Rhinolophus ferrumequinum: one gene and its partners. The protein of the gene in region 1 purifies or fractionates together with the protein of each later gene. This does not show direct contact. Links are inferred from orthologs where the notes say so. Each region holds a gene or a part of one and is shown on either strand. Other genes may lie near its edges.

The links. The genes of interacting proteins can lie anywhere in the genome.
Region 2: the proteins of PLK1 (region 1) and TOPORS purify together in Homo sapiens (affinity purification with western blotting; 3 studies listed by BioGRID). This does not show direct contact. The link is inferred for Rhinolophus ferrumequinum from reciprocal best matches to the Homo sapiens genes PLK1 and TOPORS.
Region 3: the proteins of PLK1 (region 1) and MCM6 purify together in Homo sapiens (affinity purification with mass spectrometry; 3 studies listed by BioGRID and IntAct, with this or other methods). This does not show direct contact. The link is inferred for Rhinolophus ferrumequinum from reciprocal best matches to the Homo sapiens genes PLK1 and MCM6.

Annotation. Positions count from the first base shown.
Region 1 is NW_022680357.1:17,556,523-17,563,753, reverse strand, and holds the start of PLK1 (serine/threonine-protein kinase PLK1), read right to left. Parts: upstream 3,237-7,231; 5' UTR 1-3,236. UniProt on the Homo sapiens protein: Serine/threonine-protein kinase that performs several important functions throughout M phase of the cell cycle, including the regulation of centrosome maturation and spindle assembly, the removal of cohesins from chromosome arms, the inactivation of anaphase-promoting complex/cyclosome (APC/C) inhibitors, and the regulation of mitotic exit and cytokinesis.
Region 2 is NC_046295.1:49,892,391-49,899,986, forward strand, and holds the start of TOPORS (E3 ubiquitin-protein ligase Topors), read right to left. Parts: upstream 3,139-7,596; 5' UTR 3,076-3,138; coding exon 2,956-3,075; exon of another isoform or gene 2,829-2,955; coding exon of another isoform or gene 2,544-2,828; intron 1,227-2,543; coding exon 1,032-1,226; intron 1-1,031. Other genes in the region: uncharacterized protein LOC117032445, read left to right, coding at 2,544-2,828, 3,169-3,281; NDUFB6 (NADH dehydrogenase [ubiquinone] 1 beta subcomplex subunit 6), read right to left, coding at 3,945-4,013. UniProt on the Homo sapiens protein: Functions as an E3 ubiquitin-protein ligase and as an E3 SUMO1-protein ligase. Probable tumor suppressor involved in cell growth, cell proliferation and apoptosis that regulates p53/TP53 stability through ubiquitin-dependent degradation.
Region 3 is NC_046291.1:82,501,336-82,508,792, reverse strand, and holds the start of MCM6 (DNA replication licensing factor MCM6), read right to left. Parts: upstream 3,139-7,457; 5' UTR 3,013-3,138; coding exon 2,906-3,012; intron 1-2,905. UniProt on the Homo sapiens protein: Acts as a component of the MCM2-7 complex (MCM complex) which is the replicative helicase essential for 'once per cell cycle' DNA replication initiation and elongation in eukaryotic cells.

The sequences.
Region 1 (7,231 bases):
CGCCGGGAACGTTACAAAGGCCTGCGCGCTACTGATTGGCCGCGGGGATTTAAAATCCAAACCCGCCCGCCGCGCGGCACTCTGGGAGCGCTCTGCCCGCAGCAGCCTTTTAACCTCACGCAGGCGGGCTGGGGGGGTCGGGGCAGGACACACGACCTTGAGTGACGGGGGCTCACCCACAGCAGCCACGTGGGGTGGCTGGGCAGCCAACCCGAGGAGAGCGGGAGTGGGGGGTTTCTCCCTTTCTCCGCCGCCTGGGACGCTCCTGCGCTCACAGGCACCTCCTCCAGGAAGCTTCCCTACACCTTCCTCCACACCCACCCGCCTTCTAGAACTTAACCTCCGGATACAGACCGGGCAGCGCCAAGAGGTAGCCTGGGAGAGCCTTGGCACAAGCCTCCCACGCCATCAGCTCTCTCCTGCGACACCCCAAATAAACTAAAACCGAAGCAAAACCAGGATGCTGGCCAGGAATTTGCACGTTCAGGGCAAGGCCCCTCCTCCCGTCCTGCCAGCACTGGCTGCTCCTGGAACCTTCTGGCTTACGGAGCAGCTCTACTTAACCCGCGGTGCAGGGGCCGCCGGGATCACCCTCACCTGGGAGCTTGTTAGACCCCACTCAAGGCCCAGGGCAGACCTGCCGGGAGAACCTGCCTTTCCATCTGCCTAACGAGTCCTACACACACACAGGTTTCAGAAGCACCGTGCAGGGCTCCACCGTGCCAGCAGGTCTGGCTTGCTCAAGGCTGGATTTCCCAGTGCCCAGGGAGCAGACCGGTTGGCACAGTGCCTGGCAACCGGTAGGCCGAGGCCAACTCTGGCTCCTCCCTTTTTAAAATGACTCATTTTACAGCACTCAAAAATCAACAGAGCTCACATAAAAATCCAGGTCTGTGGCTTTTCCTGAAAAAAGCTAGCAGCTCTGGCAATGCTATGCCTCCATACTTTCCCAGCTTGTCACTGGTCCCCGCTGTGGCCCCTTTGCCCCTTTGACTGTCTGGCTTCCATAGATACATGAGTGGCAACCCTGGCAAATCACCCAAGTCAGAAGCCCTTCTCTGTGTCCCTAGCGCCCCACGAGGCGTTTGATGGAGCCTAACAAGAACCCCCACGTTCTGAGTCGCTCTTTAGCTGCCTCCCAACAAACTGAGAGGAGGTGATGACGTCCCTCCTACCCCATGTCCCAGGCTCCCAGAGCAACGCCAGGTAAAAAGGGGTGACAAACGTTTGCTGAATAAAAGGGAGTTTAAACAAAAAATTAAGTTATTATTCTTTATCCTCGTGGTGTGTAGTCTTCTATTTCATCTTTTTGTTGAAGTTGATTCTACGTACAGAAAAGGTGTACATATCATAATTGCACAGCTCGGCGACGTTTCACACACTGGACACACCCATGTAAACAGACTGAGAAAGAACGCTGCTGACACCCAGAAGTCCCCTGTGCCCTGTGTTGGGGGTCCCCAAGGCCACCTCCTCGTTTGATGACATTACAGCGAAAGACTAGGAAGCAAAATCAGCCAGGGGAAAGGCACAGAAAGCCAAGTCCGGAGGGAAGCAGGCACAGGCTCCCCGGAGTTCTCTCCCAGTGGGGTCACACATGTTGAATTCCCCAGCAATGAGCTGTGACCACACATGCCAAATGGTGTCTACCAGGGGAGCTGACTCGGTGCCCAGGGCTTTACCGGGGCTGCTCACGTAGCGCCCCCTGCCGGGCACACCGGATTCCAGATTACCACAGGAAAGCAGGTATTCAACAAAACCACAGTCTACACACACAGCTCAGGCAGAGTGAGCTGCTCGTCCTGTAGGGAACGGTGAGAAGCCTCCCCCAGTCCAAGTTCCCAGGCGCCAGCCGAGGGCCAACCCGCAGCAGGCCTTCGTAAGGAGAGCAGCCTCAGGCCTGCTGTTACCTTTTCTGCAAGCTCACCCCTTGGCCCAGGTGCCTTTGCACCAGGATCACACAGAAGGGTCAGGCCAACCTGCAGGACTGATCTCAGTACCTCTTAGGGTCCTGGATTAGCCAGTTAAAATCAAAGAACCCCGCTCACCATAAAAGCCCACCTTCGAAAGCCAGGTGGCCTGCTCCTTGGTCTCTGGGAGTCGTTTTACCCCAGGCACTGAGGCCGGTACAGCACAGCTGTGGCCAGGGAGTCCGGGCTGACCTGCAGCCTGAACCAGCATGGTGATGGGCACACACAGTGTGACCCAGAGGACACATGCAGCCCCCCAGAAACGAGCTGGGGATGTTAGGGTACCCCAGGAGGGACGTACACTAGTCAGGCAGCAGAGGTTCATAGGTCCCCCGGGACGCCTCCCTCCTATCATGGGGCCCTGCCCTGGGGTTGCCAGTCCAGTCTGAGAAACTGGTCCAGTCCTCGGTTTCCGAGGGACTGCATATGGGGAGCCTGCGGGAGCCCAATGGGAGCCAGTTCCACACAGTGTTGCTTGCCCAGGATACCAGTTTATCCATCACATGAGTGTGGATGGCACCTGGAGGGGATCTGCGTGGACAGTAAGGTCATGGTGCTGCCAGCTGTGCCCCCCAGGTCGTGCTCAAGGGAGGGCTTCCAGGAGGAGTTCTGCAGAACAAAGATATGAAATGCCCTCCACCTGCCCAAGGCTCCCCGGGGCCAGGTTTTTGCTTTTGCTCCACTGTTACAAAAGCAGCGTGTCCGGCCCATCCGCAATCCTAAGTCTGCATTTGTCAGTCACCTCTTACTCGAATCCAGGCCTTCCATCTGGAAGGACTGTGCGCAAAAGGCATAAAAGCAAGTAACCAGAAAGACGTGTTCAGGAATTGGTCAAGATGTGCTATGCACTGAATTGTTGTCCCCCAAAATTCACGTGCTGCAGCCCCAACCCCAATAACTCAGAACAGGACTGTATTGGAGATGGGGCCTTTAGAGCGGTGCCTAAGATAAAACGGGGTCCTTAGGGTAGCCCTAATCCAATATGACAGGTGTCCTTAGAAGAGCGCAGGACACAGACGCACAGACAGAGGGGTGACCACGTGAGGACACAGGAGAAACCAAGGACAGAGGCCTCAAGAGAAGCCAAACTTGCTGACACCTTGATCTTGGACTTCCGGCCTCTAGAACTGAGAGACAATCAATCTCTGCGGTTGAAGCCCTCCCGTCTGCGCTATTTGGTTACAGCAGCCTGCGCAGACTCAGAGAGGATGAAATCCTGAATTCTCAACAATTTCAAAAAGCTTCTCCATAACCTCCTCCCCCTTTTATCCAGAGAGCAGCCTAGAAAAGACGAATCGCCTCCTAGAAACAGCCACACTGGAGTAATCAACCTACCTTACCCAGTGTCTGTTCCAGGGAAAGTGGGGAGGCAGAGTCAGGCCATTGGCCGCTGTGCCAAGTTGCAAATAATCCAGAAGCAGAACAGTGAGCTGTTCCCCAGAGGGGGCCCAGAGGCTCATGTGTCAAAAGCAGGAGGAGGGGTCACAGTCCCCACGATGTGGCCTCCCCCGATTGGCAGCTTTTGGCAGGGATCACAACTCAGGATGCAATTCGCCTCTGCAGCAGAGAGAAACGGCCGGTCAGCAGCTTGATTTCAAGGGTCCCATCAGAGAACAAACCCTTTGCTGTGGGCATCTGTATGTGACCCAGATGGTCCAGCTGGCAGCTGCGATGTGTGTGTCCATGATTCCGAAAGGTCCTAGGTCTCCTGTGGTCCTGGGCCTAGTCCAGTCCCGCGCAGATCCCGGGGAAGCAGGCACAGAGCATGGCGGCCGGTCTGTTTTCAGCTTCCAGTCAGGCCCCACCAACCAGGATCAGTGAATTCGGGATTCCCAGGGAGCCAGCGGCTTTTCTTCTGCAGCAGCAGAGGCAGAAGCTGAGTGCCAGACAGCCATGGTCCAAGCCCAAGTGAGAAGCGAGGCTTCCTTTTCATCTTGTCAGTCTGAGTCCAAACTGACCCACTCAGAAATACACACATCCGACTGGACAGCCATCAACCAGTCTGGCTCAGACATTAGATTTCATTCAGCAAGGGCTCAATAGCAATTCGACTGCTTTTTCAAATTCCAAATGTGTATTTCCATCCAAGGATTGACTCTCTTTTCATGTTGTCTCCCTTTCCAGAGGCTCCAATAGACAGAAACCATGCCAGCAAAAATCGTCAGTTATGGAGACTTGCTCTGGTTCCACTTCTCAAAGAATTTAAATTCTAATTCACTGGTGGCAAAAAGCAAGACAGCCGAATCCCACCGTGCACGGAACTGACCTTCACAGTCCCTATACATGTTCCCCATTTGATGGACGAGACATCTGAGGTTCGTCGGGGAGACAGCTTGTCCGGACGTGCAGAGCTGGGAGCTGATCTGCCATGTCCAGCGCCCACGCCCTTCAGCACTGTGATGGCCTTTGGGACGCAGCTCTCAGCCTCCACGAGAGACCGCTCGTGTGTCTCCCACTAAGCTGTCCGCTCCCGACGGGCAGGGCCTGGCTCCATCTCCTTCTCCACTGTGCCTCCGGGACCCAGGGCAGTGCCTGGCACTCGGCAGAGGCTCAGGGAACTAACTGTTCACTGCATGACTGAGCGACGCAGCATGAGCCGGCTCTATCTTCCCTGCCCTGAAGGGCAGCAGGGCGCGGTCTACAAAAGCACAGCGCCGCCCCTGGGGGCTCGACAAGTGCTTCTGTGACCATGGACTTACGGGAATGGGTCCAGGCTGGGAGAGCATTCTGCTGACACCTGTTTTGAAACCAGCAGGCCTCTGGACATATTGTCCCCCCACTGCCAGTGCCACTGCAGCTCCCCAGCCCTGCAGCTCCTCAGACGCTGCCCCGGAGATGAGCCAGCTCGACCTGCCCCGCCACTGCAGCCGCCCAGGTGTGCTGGACAGCGGCTCAGGGCGTCGACGTGGCTAAGGCGCCAGGTCCTGGGCCCACTGTGGGCTCTCACCAGCCAGATCTGGATGCTGAGACAGAGCTCCCCAGCCACCAAGTTCCCTTCTTTACGGTGAGAAACTCCCAAGGACGCACTGTGTAGGAGCAATGCTTGTCTGAGTCATTTCAAGTCTGCCCGCACCCAGGTGGGTCAGAGTGACTAAGAACTGTGGCCTCAGGCAGAGTGAACTGGCTCACTCCGGGATTCAGAAGCCACCACAGACGCCAACCAACAAAACGCCCCTTTTTGCTTAAACCACTTCAAGCTGGATTTCTGTCACCTGCAGCAAAGCCTGCTAACTGGATTTCTGTTTCATCTAGTGAGTGTATTCTTTACAGAGCGCCAGCCACACGGTACAGAACTTCAGACACTATTAACAACTGCAAGCAAGACAGTTCTCCGGAGAAACCTGCTCCCATCTAACGACTCAGACCCCAGTTGCAGCTGTAAGACCACGGGGCACAGTGTAAGGACACTGCCCTCTCAGAGGGGACACGAGGCTTCCTGCCTGGGGCAGACATCGCTGGATGGTTCACCCCAAACCCATCCCACCCCCTTCTCCTTGCCTGCCTGAAACACCCAAATACGCATTTTCTCAGCTTTCTGCACAGCAAGGGCTGGCGGGGTGACACATCTAGGGCACTGAGAGGCGTCACAACAGGGAGGAGGTCCAGCCAGTGACTAGGAGACAGGAGGTCCTGCCTGAGCCTCTGTTCCTGGGGAGAGTAGGTGTACCTGCCTCGCAGTGGTTGCAAGGAGTAGGGGATTCATATACGGAAAGGAGTCAGGAGGCTACCTGGCTGTTTCTAATCCTGTGTGTGGCAGTACGGAGCCCTCTCTAAGACACAGCGAGTCACAGCAGCCAGAGCAAAGCGGCAGCACCGGTGTGAGTGCGACAGAGACACCCCGTGTGCGCACGCAGACCGCCTGGCAGGAGAGCCCAGAACCTGCTCGGCGGCTGCCTCTGGGGAGCAGAATACGGGGCTGGACGCGGGATGGGTCCACCGACTTCAGTATTGTCCCTGCTTTCCTGCCTGGATGGCACTTTTGGAATCATGTACTTGAATGACTTAAAGATTTTAAAATTCTATTTAAGAGGCTCAAAAAATAAATTAATTAATTTAATAAAAAACCACGCCCCATGTTCTCTTTCTTTTCTTTTCTTTTTATTGGGGAAGGGGAACAGGACTTCATTGGGGAACAGTGTGTACTTCCAGGGCTTTTTCCCAAATCAAGTTGTTGTCCTTTCAGTCTTAGTTGTGGAGGACACAGCTCAGCTCCAGGTCCTGTTGCCATTGCTAGTTGCAGGGGGCGCTGCCCACCATCCCTTGCGGGAGTCGAGGAATCGAACCGGCAACCTACTGGTTGAGAGGATGTGCTCCAACCGAGCCATTCGGGAGCTCAGCAGCAGCTCAGCTCAAGGTGCCGTGTTCAATCTTAGTTGCAGAAGGCACTGCCCACCATCCCTTGCGGGACTCGAGGAATTGAACTGGCAACCTTGTGGTTGAGAGCCCACTGGCCCATGTGGGAATCGAACCGCCTTCGGAGTTAGGAGCACGGAGCTCCAACTGCCTGAACCACTGGGCCGGCCCACACCACTTTCTCTTAATTTGGGTTGTTCACCAACAAATTGGATAGTCAATTATATGTCAATTATATCTCAATAAAACTGCAAAAGTAAAATTGAAAAGAGAATGGACAGTTAGTCACATAAAGCGGCGAGGTATTCACACACAGACGGGACGGTGATGTGTTGCATCACCTGGAAGATTTCTCTAGGGAGCAAAAGGGTGTTCCGTCAGCCTAGGGGGCACCTGAGCTCTGCCAGCCCCAAGATTCACCTTTTTGGTGGCACGAAAGGGGAAAGGAGCTGGCGGAGAGGCCGGGAAATGGCTGAAGAACCTGCACCCATCACAAACTGCTCGTGTCGCACAGGACGCAGAGCAGGTGTGCTCCAGGGGCAGGCGTGTCCCGTCTCACCAGGGCAGAGCTGAGGGCCTGGGCAGTGGAACCAGACCTGGGGCAGCCCCTGTACCCCAGTACCTAACATTCTCCCCTGTAAATGGAGCAACAACCACCTGACAGGGTTGGTGTGAGCCAGGAGCGGGCCAGTGATTGAAAAGCCTGCAGCGGGCACCGGGCACGGAGCAAAGTGCCCGGGAGACACAGGAAGCCATCACTGGAGGGGGACAGCTATCACCTTCAAATGACTCGGTTCATGTATCAATCTTTTAATGTACAAACATAAAAAAACTGACAAACCAGGAACCAGTTTTACATCGAATGAGTGGCGATCATTCCGTTAGCCAATTCTGCAAACCCCACAACC
Region 2 (7,596 bases), on another chromosome or scaffold:
CATAATTAATAATTACTGTACTAAATACATCTAGGCAAAATGGCAAAAAAGGGTTCACAAGTGGATAAACTAGAAATACATCTCCAAGTATTAAAAATAATCTGGGTTCTACCTCTTGTGACCTTAAAGAAATCACTCTGAACTGCAATGCAATAAATTCCAAAAGATCATATAGAAGTTTTAGGATCTATTGATCAGATCCTGTAAAATTTAATTCCAATTCCAGCAATAAAAAAAATTGCTTGGGAACCATTCCCCTCTAAAGTCACTCGTTTCAAACAAGCGAGATTACTTTGACTGAGTGCATAGCTTTTCATGTCATTGACTCATTAAAAACCCCCAGCCCTCATCACTATTAACGGACAGCTCTTTGTTAATTTACCTTAATCTTGAAATTACCTACCAAAAAGTCTATTCATTTTCCTCCTAAATCACTATTTGCTCATGTAAGTCGAGGCATCTGCAGCCCACCAGGAAAGCTGCACTGACTCGCTGGATGAATAAATCACGGCAGGTGAGCCCAGCACACAATGTTTAGCACTGCGCAGACAACTCCAACAGTCACGGTGACAGTCCCTTCCTTAGGCCAAAAACTGCCACCGGCCAAGATCTAAGACAATCACCACGTGCATTACATAATCACAACGAACTGAAATACTGTTATTCCCATTATACAGACAGGATCAGAGAGATTAGAGGGCCCATTCAAGGTCACACCTCTGACAGTGCAGGTGCCACCATTCAGACTCGAACGTTTTGTGTTGAGTTTTTTTCCCCCGAGACCAAGCTCTTTCCAGTACACGGCTAGGCTCGCGGCCCTCGGGAGCGCTTCTTGGAAACGTAGCCCTCCCCCGCCCACCGGCACAAATCTACAGGTGCGCCGCAGGTGCCGTCCGCCCGCCGGGGCCCCTGCCCCACTGAGGCCCGGACGGCCTCTCAGCTCCCTCGTCGCTGGGCCTCGCTCCAGACGGTAGCTCCAGCTGGCCCAGCCCTTCCGACCCCCGCGCCCCATTGTTCCTGATCTCACTCACCTCGGAGGATGCCGGCGCAGGCCGAGCTGGGGCGCTCGTGGCAAGCTCCCGGCGGCCCAGGAAGCTAGGGCGGTGACGACAGGATCCGCGAAGGCGTACCCGGCGACTTCTCCGCCGGGCCTCAGGAGCGGGAGCAGGCGGGGGCGCTTCACCCTCCTCGCGAGACAGCGGAGACCCCGGCGGCTGCTGCGACCCCTGTGACGTAAAGCGTTCATCACCAATGGCAGCTTGGGGGCGGCGGTAGAAGCAAAACCCACCCCGCGGCCCTCGGCGCGTCAAAACACAACACCCACCAACGTAACGCATGCGCAGTGGAAGGGCGCCGGCGAGGAAGGAGGGGCCTACGTGCTCGGCCCGAGCCCGGGTCCTTCCCCCAACGTCCACTCCCAGGAATCAGAGCGACGTGACCCCTCAGAGGCAGAAGTCACTATCATCACCGTCATGATTCTTGTTATTACTAATCTCTGAGGGTTGAAGGGGCACTAACTTAATGCTCCCTCCTAACTTACCTGGAAAATACGATAACCAACTCGGCCTCATTTAAACCCCACTAAACTGCGAGAAGTTACTAAAATGATCTCTAGTATATAAAAGAACCGAGTAACATGGAGGTGAAGTGACTTTACTTCCGATTGCACAGCTTGGTAATATCACCGGGATTCGAGTGGAATCCAAAGCCAGAGCCCAACCAGTATCCTACAGTCTTGAGAGAGACATCTACTCCAGTCTGAGGATAAACAGGGATTACCTAAGAGAAGAGCCTTGAAATCTTCCCAAAACAATGTTTTTCTCTCAAAAGACTGCTTTCCCCTTTCCCCACGCCCCGAAATCAGGATTAAAACCCTATTTAGATGACATTATGAGATGTACAGAGAAAGAACGTCTGAGCCTAAAGCGGCCCGTTGCCCCATTCTACCCTCTGGCCTCAGATACGAGCGTCCCAAACATTCTCAAGTTGAACTTGGTACAACCTGCCAAGTGCCAAACCGCCGTCCTTTGGCTTCATATTTGATACGCGCTACCGTTCTGGGCACATATTATAAACGCTCAACAAACACTTGCTGATTGGCAGGTACATTATGACAGTTAACGGTGCCAAGTTATTCTCAGAAGTTATTTACATCAAGAAGCCATTGCGTTCTGAAAGATTTGTTTCTTGAAGAAGGGTTCAATTAACAGGGATTCCCACAATGATTCGTCACTGTTAATATAAAAGTGAGTAGTATTCTTGTTTACATCAAAAATGAATATACGAACCTCTATCAATATAATGTCGGAACAGACTTAAGAAGAAACGTTAATTCTTCCAGCGTTAGACGCCGGTGCAGTATTTAAAATACGGATTAGTTTTTCAAATACACTTTTAAATGCACACGACGGTATAATATCCTGCATTAACATTTACTGCAACGGAAAGACCAATTGACGAGATACGCTTATTTAAGTGGCAAAAAAAAAAAAAAAGTAATTTCAAAACACATTTTCCCGTTTATCCCATCCCCTCGCTGAAAGGCGGGCTAGGCCCCGGATCACGTGAGCCTGCCCCCAGCTCCGGGCGGAAGAGGCCGGCCATGTCGGTGGGAAACGCTCCTGGAGGCGAGTGGGCGGGCGTTTGTGCCCGGCTGAAAGATGGCCGTCGTCGCCGCCACCGCCACCGCCGCCGCCGCCGCCGCCCGGCAGCCGCCGCCCGGGAGGTTACTCTAGGGCCTGCAGGTTCTGCCCGTGCCCGCGGACTGCCGTCGCCTCCTTACCATGAAGCCAGTGAGTCGCCGCACCCTGGACTGGATTTATTCAATGGTAGGTCCCGGGTCTGGCGAGGCCCCACAGTGTCGACTCCGTAGGCCCGCAGGCGAAGCCCCCCTATTCCTCTCAGCGCCCAGAAACTCCAAAATCCATTCCTGAATTAAGCATTTCACTCCCTCACCTCGACTCCGCCTCTTCCTGGAGGATACGCTCTTCCGCTGCTTACGTAAGGACAGCTGGGTGTACGTGCCTTGGAATCCCATTCTTTTGTCGCTGTAATTTCCGCCTTAGCAACGTGCATGGCAACCTATGGGGGGCGGGGAGGAGGTGCTGCTCACATTAGAATGAATTTTTTTGCATTTACTTCGCCTCTTGCATTTTTTTTTTTTTTTAGTTGCTCCTTGCGATAGTATTACTCTCCTGGGGATACGTCCTCTATGCATCAACAGTAGCCGCTCGACGACAGCTAAGGAAGGCGTACCCAGACAAAATCTTCGGAATGAATGAAAATTTGTAATTCCTCTAGATTTTATTCTACGCAAATACTTCTCTGGCATGTGTCTTGATTTAAAGTAAAATCCATGATAGTTTCCAATTTTATTTTTTCATACAGTCCTTTATAATAACCGATCTAATATGCTAATTTTTCAAATATTTAGGTTTGTCTTTTACATTCTTATATAACAAAGCAACCTAGATCCGACAGCCTTTGAGTATCAGATCATACATGGGATAACATGCTTTTCAACTTAAGAATGTCTAAAATACGTTTTAAATGCCCCAGAAAACCACCCTTAAAACAAAAGTGTGTGGAATTTCTATTCTTATATTTATTGCAACATTTCATTCTGTTCCATACCTACACACCAGACTAGATTAAGTACTATGTAAAAAAAAGAAAAGTGACTATTTTTCTATATCCTGTTTTCCAAGTCAAGAATGGCCAGAAAAAGTAGTTGGTTGTTCATATCATTTTTTAGCACATCCAGTTTTCATTTATTGTTAAATAATTCAGTCTCAAATTGTATAGTGTTTAGGAAGAAATAAAACAATACATATCTGAGAGTAAACTTTATTATAAAGTTACTTTTTCAGAAAATATATTCAGTAAATATGGTAATGTAGCAACAAAACTTGGGCTTATATGCCTTTGAAATTTTAAAGTAATCTTCAGTGATGTTGATCAGGAAATGCTTTCATTGGTGGAATTACTTCTCCAGTCTCCAGAATTGTATCACCCTAGGAAAACAAACATGCTTTAGTACAAAAATCTTGTCTGCAGAGGAGCATCTACTTGGTCAGACCTCACACCAAAAATCTAGTTCAGCTTTGGCCTTCATACTATAAAAGGGACTTAGGCAAAGTAGAAGCTGTCTAAATATAAGCAATCAGTATTCAAAATCTTAAGGTGTAAGTGAAAGAACGGGAAGTTTCACTCAAAATGAACAGAAAGGGCAGGCAAGTGGTCTTCACAAAATGATAAAGGGATAATGTTTATTTTGCATGGTCCCAAGAAATAGGAGAAGCCCTAGAAATAAGTTACAGGGGAACATCTTCAGCTCAACATAAGGAGGTAATGTATTCACAGTAACTAAATGTGTGTTAGGCAATCATCAATTTACCATTTGGTACAGGATAAGTAGAGACAGAATGCAAACTTTGCCTAGGTAGCTGGTTCAGGTGTCTTTTCAGACCTAGATACAGTGTGTGGTAGAAAAGACATGGATTTTGGAGCCAGAACCAAGTGATGACAATCCTGGAACCTCCACTGACAAGCTGTATAACTTGAAGCAAAAACCTTAGCTTTAGTTTCAGCTTTGTGTTCAAGAGAGCAGATTCTGTCAGCCTGAGAGTCCGTGAATGACTGGGTACAGTAGAATTATTCACCCATCACCACCCCTGCCATTTTCTGACCTGGTACTGCTCAGGACTATTATCTGATAAAGAAATACACGTTTATTATGTTTGAGCCATTATAAATTTTGGGAAGAATTTATTACCACAGCTAGCATTACCCTAACAGAAAATAGTACCCTGAAGTGGTACTAATGCTGCGGTAATAAAAATTGAAACACATAGCACTGGCTTAGTCTGGAGGCAAAGGCTGGCACTAGAGGCTGACAGGTGGAAATAAAAGGCAGTAGTAACTTGGAAACAGTCTAATGAACTTGAGGTTCTAGGAGAGGTAGCTGGGGAAAAGTTATAGTACGTGTTTACTACTAGCTGCTTTGGGAATATACTTTAGGAAACATGAGCTCAGGCCAGAAGTGGCTGATTTGAGAGGAAAAATAAAAATGGAGAGAATAAAAAATTCAGAACCTTGCAGGATTGGAAAATCAAGTTGCTTCTGAATCTAAACAGTAAGGGTTAACACTGAAGAAATTCTGAGAAACCCAATAAAACTCGGTAAACAGAGGGACTCAGCCCTATGACAAAGAACAGACTGAAGTGAAGGTAGCCTTTCAATCAGTCTATTTCAGATGGCCTCCACATAGCTGCCACTGAGTTGAGAGAGGCAGTTGCATGAGGACAAAGGAAAGAACTTGGTAACCATGTATAGAAAGCACAGATGCATGTGGGACTGACTAGAAGCAAACAGACTCCTACCAAGTATTTTCCTTTTTCTGCCTGCCAAATGTTGTGGGGAGTAGATGGTCAAAGAAACCAAATATATAGACAACAAAGGCTTATGAATGAGCTTAAAACAACCTCTGGCACTCAACCTCCTGTGAGCAGGAAGCAGATTTAAAAGGCTGTACAACCCTAAGAAGGGCATGCCTCCCAGTACCCATTTTCCATGTGGTCTAGGTAATGAAAAAGAAAGAACTCCTTGGACAGAGCCAGGGGCCAGGAAGAACAATGAACAAAGGTGTTACTTCCAGAAAACAATCTGCCCATTCAAGTCACTTCCTACACACAAGGAGTTAGGAGTCCACAATATTTGACCACAGATTTCAGAATTGCCAAGAACCAGTGACTGCACTGCTGTCCTAATTCCACCACTGAGAAATGGGTGGGATGGGGGGACAAGGGCAAGAGATACAGTTAACTTGCCTTATTTATTCACTGGTTCTCAAATCTCAAGAGAAGTCATATCTAAACATGACAGACACTACTGTGCATCACCTAGAGATCTTGGATTTGGGACTGGTTGCAGTGATGGAATAGGATTTGGGATTTCTCCCTCAGGAAGGAACTGTGTTATAGGAGTATGTGAGGGGGAAAGAAGCAAAGAGATATTTGGTGACTAGAAGGATGGACTGTGGCAGAAATTCCAGGCATGAGAGGCTGGGGGAAAAAACAACCACTACATAGCTATTTGGGACAATGAGAATGAGTTCTGGCCAACAGGATTTAAGAGAAGTGATATAAACTACTTCTAAGATTAGACCTTAAAAGCATCCCGAGATGTCCAGACCTCTTTTCTCTTAACATGCTCTTGGAAGCCTCCTAGTCCAGGTGGCATAATTACCAGATTGAGGAAGATCGCCTGATCTACGTTAGTCTGTGATATCAATAAGAAATAGCGCTTTGTATTATTAAGCCACTGAAATTTGGGAGTATGTTTGTTACTGCCCATCCTATTCTGTTAGGTTGGTGCAAAAGTAATTGCTGTTTTCACAATTATTTTTAACCTTTTAAACTGCAATTACTTTTGCACCAACCTAATAATATGTGTACAAATGAGCTTTCTTCAGGTCATCAAATGGGAAGCTTCTCAAAGGGGTCAAAGGCATAGAAATGGAAAAACCACAATGGCAAGAATAAGAAAGTAGGAGAAATGCCATGGGATCACTATGTGGTCTTCTAATGACAACCCCCTTTCTTTTCATTTGAACAATAATGACCAAATAAATAATAAACAGATATATAAATGGAAGAATAAATTGCCCAACTGGTGAAACCAGTAAGATAATTTCCTATTTTGAGACTACCGTGTTTCTCTGAAATTAAGACCTAGCCAGACAATCAGCTCTAATGCATCTTTTGGAGCAAAAATTAATATAAGACCTGATCTTATTTTACTATAAGACCGCATCTTATATAATATAATATAATATAATATAATATAATATAATTAATATAATTAATATAATATAATAGACTGGGTCTTATATTAATTTTTGCTCCAAAAGATGCATTAGAGCTGATTGTCCGGCTAGATCTTATTTTCAGGGAAACACGGAATCTAGGCCCTGACATATCAATTATACACAATAAAATATAGAAGAAATCCCCTACTATTTCCTAAAGCAGAGTTCCAACTGGAAAGGTTAGCCAATTTTGGTGGTTCTCCCTAAAATTTACTTTGGTGGTTCTCCCTAAAATTCACAGATGATGGATCACTGTGACTGTCATTTGATTGAAGCAAGAATCAACACTGAGTTTTGTTTTTTAAAATTACAGAACTTAGAGATTGATGGTATTTCATTATTTGACCAGAAATAGACAAGAACATAACATGTATTTTACTATGTTAAATAATAACCTCACAAACAATAAAACTGACTACTGTGTAATCTTTTAATGCTGAAAAGACTTATTTTAAATTAGGATAATAGGTTACATATTCATATTATAAAATTTAAGCACACATCAACAGATTTTAAATTCACAGATGGATAAGTTAAGGTCCAACTGCCCTGAGAAACGATAGTTTGGAAATAATAACAGAGGAATTCACTTGCTATTACTGTGCTCAGGTGTCTATAGACGCTCAGGTTAGTGCCCTAAGTCTTTAACCCTACATGAAAACAGGGCACCTATCTTCAATTCACTTTAGGACTACAAAGGTGACACACGTTTTACAGCTAGGTTGAAA
Region 3 (7,457 bases), on another chromosome or scaffold:
CAACTGGCTGCTGACGACTGGCAACCGACTGCATGGGGGGGGGACGACAACACACGCAAACCTCGTAAGACCAGCATGGGCCAGGGAGCTGTGTCCTACACAACTAGACTGAGAAACAACAGCTTGAACCAGAGTGTGTGTGTGTGTGTGTGTGTGTGTGTGTGTGTGGCGGGGGAGGCGGAAGAAGGGGGAAAAAACCGAACAGAATAAAAATACACAGAAATAAGGTTCTTCACTGCCCAAGACCTCAGAAAAATGGGAACATACACACAAAATAAAGCTGGTGTGTTTTTTCTAAAAGTATCATACAAACATATTTGCTTTTCGTTCTTTTAACATAATATGCAGATCAGTTTTGAGGCAAAATCAATTCCTCCTTCAAATACAGCATGTTCTAACTCTGTTAAGATTTACTGAACGACTCTGCAAAAGCACTATGTAACTGAAGCTGCAGATGAGTGCTGTTCCTGCCTTAGGGTTGACACTCTCAGGAGACACTCCTACTAAAGAGAGGTACAAGACAACCTAAATGTCCATCACAAATGATTTAAAAAAATGTGGTATGCACATACAGTGGAATACTATTCAGCCTTAAAAAAGGAAATTCTGCTACATGTGTCAATATGGATGAACCCTCAGGACATTATGCTAAGTGAAATAATGATTCTACTTACATTAGACACCTAAAATAGTCAAATTCATACAATCAAAAAGTGGGATGGTCATTGCCAGGCTGAAGGAAGGTGGAAAACGTTGAGGTACTAATCAACAGGTAAAAAGTTTCACTCAAGGAAGATGAATAAACTCTAACAGATCTACTGTACAACAACCCTGTACCTATACTCAACAATATATTGCAGTTAAAAATTTGTAAAGAGGGTAGATCTCATGTAAGTGTTCTTTCCATAATAGAAGAAAAAAGGAAAAAAATGGGGGAAGTGCAAGAAATGTGATAGGGGAACATAAAGTAATTCTACCTAACATCTAGAAAGGCTTCATGCATCTAAAAGGTGGCACTGGAATTCAGCCTGGAAAGACTTAAAATCTGAAAAACAAGCAGTAGATAGACTGGTTACAGATGTCTACAAGTACGTGGCAGTAAGAAAAGGTCTGGAAGGAAGGTGGATGATGACAGGCTGGCTGTGGGAGATGAAACTGAAGAGAGGAGCTGTGAAGAATTTGGACTTTTTCCATAAGCAATGGCAAATCAAAGTTGGTATTTTTAAAGAGAGTTAGCATTTTTTCCCCAACGAAGGACAGGGATTATTTGTTTTGTTCATCATCATCCCTAGCATCTAGCTGCATGGTAAACTGCAAGGTAGTGAAGGTAATGATATCATTGAAATGAAACATTCATTGAGGACCTCAGTAATGTGGTGTGGTGGCTAGGTGGGGTTAAGGATGGGATTTACCTTGAAGATGAAGTGGCTGACAGGTAAAGATACTGGAAACGATATTACCAGATATAATGGAAAAGGGCAACTTGGGAACATAAGGGAAAAAAGGTTTGGTGTTGTCTGATCGGTTTATCAGGTTTCACAAAGGAGGTGTGAATCTTTAACTGAGCTTTGAAGGATGAATATCTGTCACGCAGAGAATAACATTGCCGAAGGTAGGGAAATATAAATTATGGTTTTAAGTAAATCACAATTTTGTAATACAGAATTATTCACAATAAAAGTGGAAACAACCCAAATGTCCACGGACATATGAATGGACACAGAAAATGTGGTATATACATACAATGGAATATTATTCAGCCTTAAAAAGGAAATTCTGGCACACGCTACAACATGGATGCTAAGTGAAATAAGCTGGTCACAAAAAGACGCATACTTAATGATTCCAAGCACATGAGGTATTGTCACCCGCACAGGCAGAGAACAGAATGGTGGTTGTCAGGTGCTGAGGGGGTGCCGGGAAAGGAGTAATTGTTTATTGGGTGCCTAGTTTCAGTCTGGGAAGAGTTCTGGCGAAGGATGGTGATAATGGCTGCATAACAAGGCGAATGTACTTAATGCCACTGAACTCTACACTTAAAAAAGCTTACAGTGGTACATTTAAGTGGTAAATTTTATGTGATGTATATTTTTCAAGTAAATAAAGGATTCATAGGACATTCCAAAATGTTTACCTTTCATCCCGAGGCAGCAGAATCCACACTCTCAAATAAAGAAGTGAGTATCTACACTAAGAACAGTTAACTGGCCGCAGTGGCATCGAACCGGGGAGCGGGGGTACGAGAGGCCAGGAGCCCAGAAGGCAACGGAAAAAGAAGTGGGGGGCGGGGTTTGGAAGGAAAGGACGGAAAGGAGAATGTTCAGCTACTTCTAAGCAGGGTAAGGCTCACCCTCACCCCAGCACGTTAAACCACAGGGAACACTCTAGTCCTTTCATCTCCACAGGCTCCCGGGTTGCCAGGGACCTGGGTGCCAACACCAGGGTCCTGGCTGTGCAGTCCCTTCGGGCGTCTGCCATGATTCCAGTGCCAGTTCGGCTTCTCGCTCGACCCTGCCCACGCGTGGCGTAGCCGGACGTCACTTACCGTCCCGGGGCCTCAATTTCCGCACAGGTGATCGGGGGCGACACGACCACCAGCCTTAAGGTAGTGAAGACTGAATGGTGGAGTAAAGCGCTTAGCCTGGGGCACAAGAAGAGCCTGAGGAAGGGTTTGCCATGGATTTCACCCTTGCAAACCAAGCCAGCCGGTCCTAGCTCCTAGCGGGGGCCTGGCTAAGCCCCAACTGGGGCTCGGGCCGCTCCCCAAGGCGCGCGATCGCGGTTCCGGAACAACCGCCGGCCACACACCTTAACCCTGCCCTCGGGCACGGGGCTTCCCGGGTTCCTAAAGCTGGGAGGGGATGCTCGGGGAAGTTCGGCGAGAAAGGGCAGACCGCGGACTTACTCCTCCAAGAAGTCCAGGAAGAGCTTCTGGCACTTCTCCGCCACCTCGTCACGGACTTCCAGGCGCTGGCTGCCGGCGCCCGGCTCCGCTGCCGCCGCGAGGTCCATGGCTGTGCAGCGCCGAGGGGCAGGCGCCGACACGCTGGGCCGCCACGAGTCGCCTCTCCCCGACGCGGCGGCTTTGCGCTTACCGCCGCCGCCGCCGCCGCAGCTCCGCCCGTCGTGGCCCGGGCCGGCCGCAGCCAATCGCGAAGCAGGAGCACGGAGATTTCGCGCCAAACTTTCCGGAAGAACGCTGAGACCTCTCCCTTAGTCCCGCCCACGAAGCGGGGATTTCGCGCCAAAAGCAAAAACCTGCTGAAACGGGGTGTGTGTGTGTGTGTGTGGGGGGGTGTCTGCCTGTGCGTCTGCGCAGTGTGGTTGGGTCCTGGGGAATCTGGCTTCTAGAGCATGTTAAAAAGGCCATATCGTTGTTTGTGTGGCTTTTCAAATGTTCTTCACATCATTCCACTGACATTAATTGAGCAGTAAGCGTAGGGCTTTATGGAAGAGAAAAATGAGTAAGAGTCAGACCCTCAGCTTGGGCCGTCTCATCGGAGGAAATAAACTGTAAACCAGGGTAAAACATTAAAAGAGCGAACATGGATGTACACACAGTACCGGGCATGGGGAGTTGGCATAGTTATGCTGGCAATGCTGACCCGGGAAAATCAGCGAAATATTTGACTCTGTTGATTAATTGCTCTCTTCAACGCACTCCTTGCTTGTGACCTCCTGATTTTTCTTCCCCTTTCTTTGGTCATCTTTCTCCGACTTCGTTTCACTTGGTTTTTCTCCTATCTCTTTGGCCATTCTTGTTTAGCCTCCTTTATAAGCGCCAAGTCTTCTTCAGTGAGTCCCTTAAATATTCTAGTCCCAGAGCCTTCCTTTCCCATAAAGGAGCTCTCTTGGGCTACTCCCTTCAGTCCCTTGGCTTCAATTAACATCTGGGTGCTGATGACTTACAAATGTGTGTCAACAGCTGATACTGTTTCTTGAGCCTCCAAGAGTTTAAGAGAAGCCTGGACCACTTTCAATTTTTGAGGCCTTCAGCACATTAAAAAAATGTTTTCAATGTCAAAGAGGGTGACAGAAGTTATAGTAATTCTTTTAACACACACTTCACAAGATATTCACAAGGTTTAACAAAAATGCTCATTGCTAGTGTACTGTCATGGATGGGAGATTGTATGTATTACCTCATTTGAAGAGGATGAGAACCCTTGAGGCTCTGTGTCCATCCCTCAACCCTTCCCCAGCTCCAGAATCTGCCTGCCTGTGGACATCACTACTTGTATGTATTTTAGGAACCTCAAACTCACCCTGCTTCATGCTATTCACACCCCTCATCTACTAGGAATGGATCCAGGAGATATTTAGGAGTAGTATGCTGACCAGGTTGCCTAATACTCTCAAAAGGCCTCATTCTTTTCTTTTCCATTTTTTACCTTCTCTTCATCTTCTATTCTCGGGGTAGATTTCTCAAAACTAAAGTCCCACATACCAAAGGAAAAAAAAAAGCAAAGAACAAGAGTGTAGAATTACAGGCTAATTTGCAGCTATGCCCATTTGAGAGAAAGTTGAGACTTCCTCTTTTCAACCTTACACACCTCACAGGTCCTCTCTTCCACCTTCAGACATCACCTCTGGACCAGAATAGCAGATGAGGTCTCCAAGTGAGGGTTGTGGGATACCTCAGGAGGAAGGTGTGGGTTATGAAGCAGCTCTGTGCTATATCCCAGGAGTTGTACGCCTCCGTGTGTGTGTGTGTGTGTGTGTGTGTGTGTGTGTGTAGGCCTGAGACTGCTGTCCTTAGAAGGGCCTGCTTGCAAGGTTGAGCACTGGCTAGCATTTGGGAGCTTGACTGGTAAAGAGTTCCCTACACTGGTATCATATGACACCTCCCATAAATGATAAGGATGGCTCACTGTGCCTAAAACGTTTGTACAAACAATGTGGTTTGTGCTGAACATCTTCTGAGTAGTATTTGGAATCTTGATATGTGCTAGGTAGACAGTGCCTATTGAACAGCACCAAGAAAAACTCTGGGCTTTTCTAATGAGCTTTCCTGGTAGAAAATGTGGTATGTGTACTGTCATGGTTTGATGCTGGGGAGAAATTGGTGCGTTCTATATGAGTCCATAGGGAGAGGACTCTAGGAAGCTTGTACTTAGTTTCCTCTGGACTTTGCCTGTCCCATATACCTTTTCCCTTTGCTGATTTTATCTTCTACCCTTTAGCTGTAACAAATCATAGCTGTGAGTACAATTTTATATATTGAGTCCTGCGAGTCCTAGCAAATCATTGAAACTGAGGATGGTTTTGTGGACCCCCAACACAATATATGTTCTTTTCTTAACCTTCTTATAATAGAATTTCAAACATACACAAATGTAGAATAATAAAATAACGCCATTTTTATTTTATAATAGTCTAAATAGTATATAATGAACTCCCATTATATAACCCCAATAACCATCAACGTGTGGCCAATCCTGTCCAAACCACACACTCCATCTACTTTTCCCTCTACATTGTTATTATCTTAATATTTTTATTTTAAATTATCTAGATACTAAAAGTTGCAAAAGATAGTACAGAGTTCTCATACATTATTCTGTGCCCATTTCCCCCTACTGTTAACATTTTACTTTACTGTAGTACATTTGTCACAACTAAAGAACTAACTTTGGTACAGTACTATTAGCTAAACTCCATACATTAGTTGGATTTCACTAGTTTTCCTCTAATGTACTTTTTCTTTTCCAGGACCCCATCCAGGACACCACATTACATTGAGTTGTCCCGTCTGCTTAGTCTCCTCTGCTCTTTGAAATTTCTCAGACTTTCCTTGGTTTTGATGACATTGATAGTTTTAAGGTATACTGCTCAGGTATTTTGCAAAACATCTCTCAATTGGGATTTGTCTGATGTTTTTCTTTTGCTTAGACTGTGCTTTGGGAGGTAAAGCACAGAGGCAAAGCACAGTTCTCACCACTCCCTTATAGTTTTGAAGCAAATCCTAGATACCGTATCATTTCATATGTAGCTATTTCAGAATGACTCTCTACAACAGAAAGGCTCTTTTTCCTGAGACGTATGTTTGGCTTAGAAGGAAAATTCCTTCAAACAGCTGTAGCAGTATGGGTTGATGATACTGATTCTTTTAAATCTAACTAATATTTTCCTAACTAACACTTCAACTTACTTTGAATAAAGTCAGCAGATTAAATTTTTACATGATTTATTTTAGGTGATATGCAATATTCAGTAAGATATTTATCAAATCATATTAGAAAAAGTTTCTTCCAAACACGGTTAATCTTCATCTTACAAAATATTTAACATATCCTACCTCTTATTAACAAAGTAAGAAAATTATATGCTAGCTGTGATAAATTACTTTTAACAATAAATGACTAAATGTATTTTTAGTCATTTGTCTTCCTCTTTAGTTACTTAAAAATATGAGAAGTTTGATCATGATGTCTATCAAATTAGTGGAGAGAGCAGTAGGATTGATGGCAGTTTTTACCTATTTTTATATAATACTTATTTAATTTTTTCAAAAAGCTGAATACCAGAATTACATACACACAGTACTGAAAAAATATTTAAAACTTCCATAATACTTCTCAATTCATAATAACATCATTTTAACTGTACCCTACATTATATTGTTAATTAAGAAATGAGAAACTGCATATAATTTTACTTGTGTTTTACAGCTATTATAAAAATTGATTAGTTAATATTTTATATATGTATGATTTTAATATTTATTTGATTGCTTTTATAATCATCAGTTTTACAAAATGTGTTCCATATTTTGTCTCCCAGTGGCTTTTAGACTATTTCTTGAAACAGGTATTACCATGTTTGTTTGAACTGAAAAACAAAGTTGGATTATTTTTTTCCTAACAAAACAGTAAGTGTGATTTATCTGATTGATTTACAATGAGAACAACCTTTACTAAGTGGGTTATGTGGTGGACATTTTCTAGACATTGAATAACCTAAGTCTTCAGCTCCAAGGTTTTGAGCAAAACATATTTCAAGAACATTATAAAATGAAACCACTCTATTTAAAAAATTGGATAAGCAAAGGTGTGTTGAAATTAACAGGATTTTTTTCTTCTCAAGTTTAGGAGAGATTTGGGCAGCAGAAACAGATTGAAAAATCCTCACAAGAGATGGTGGGGAAGTTTTGGAAGTAGATGCAGTCACTCAAAAAGCATCTGAAGAAAAAGAAGAAGGCAGGTCCAAGCATAAAACGCTGGGGAATATCAACATTTAACGGGAAGCTGAGAAGGAAAATGCCATGGGAGAGACTGGGAAATTATAACCAGAGAAATAGGAGGAGAACCTGAAAAGTCAAGAGAAGATTCTAGAACTAATTGTTGTCAATGGTGAATGCTGCAGAGCTGTCAAGGAGGATAGAGACTGAACATGGTGGAACAAGTTTCAGGAATACGAAAGGGGTAGAAGTGAGACTGCAAGGGCATGAATGGAGG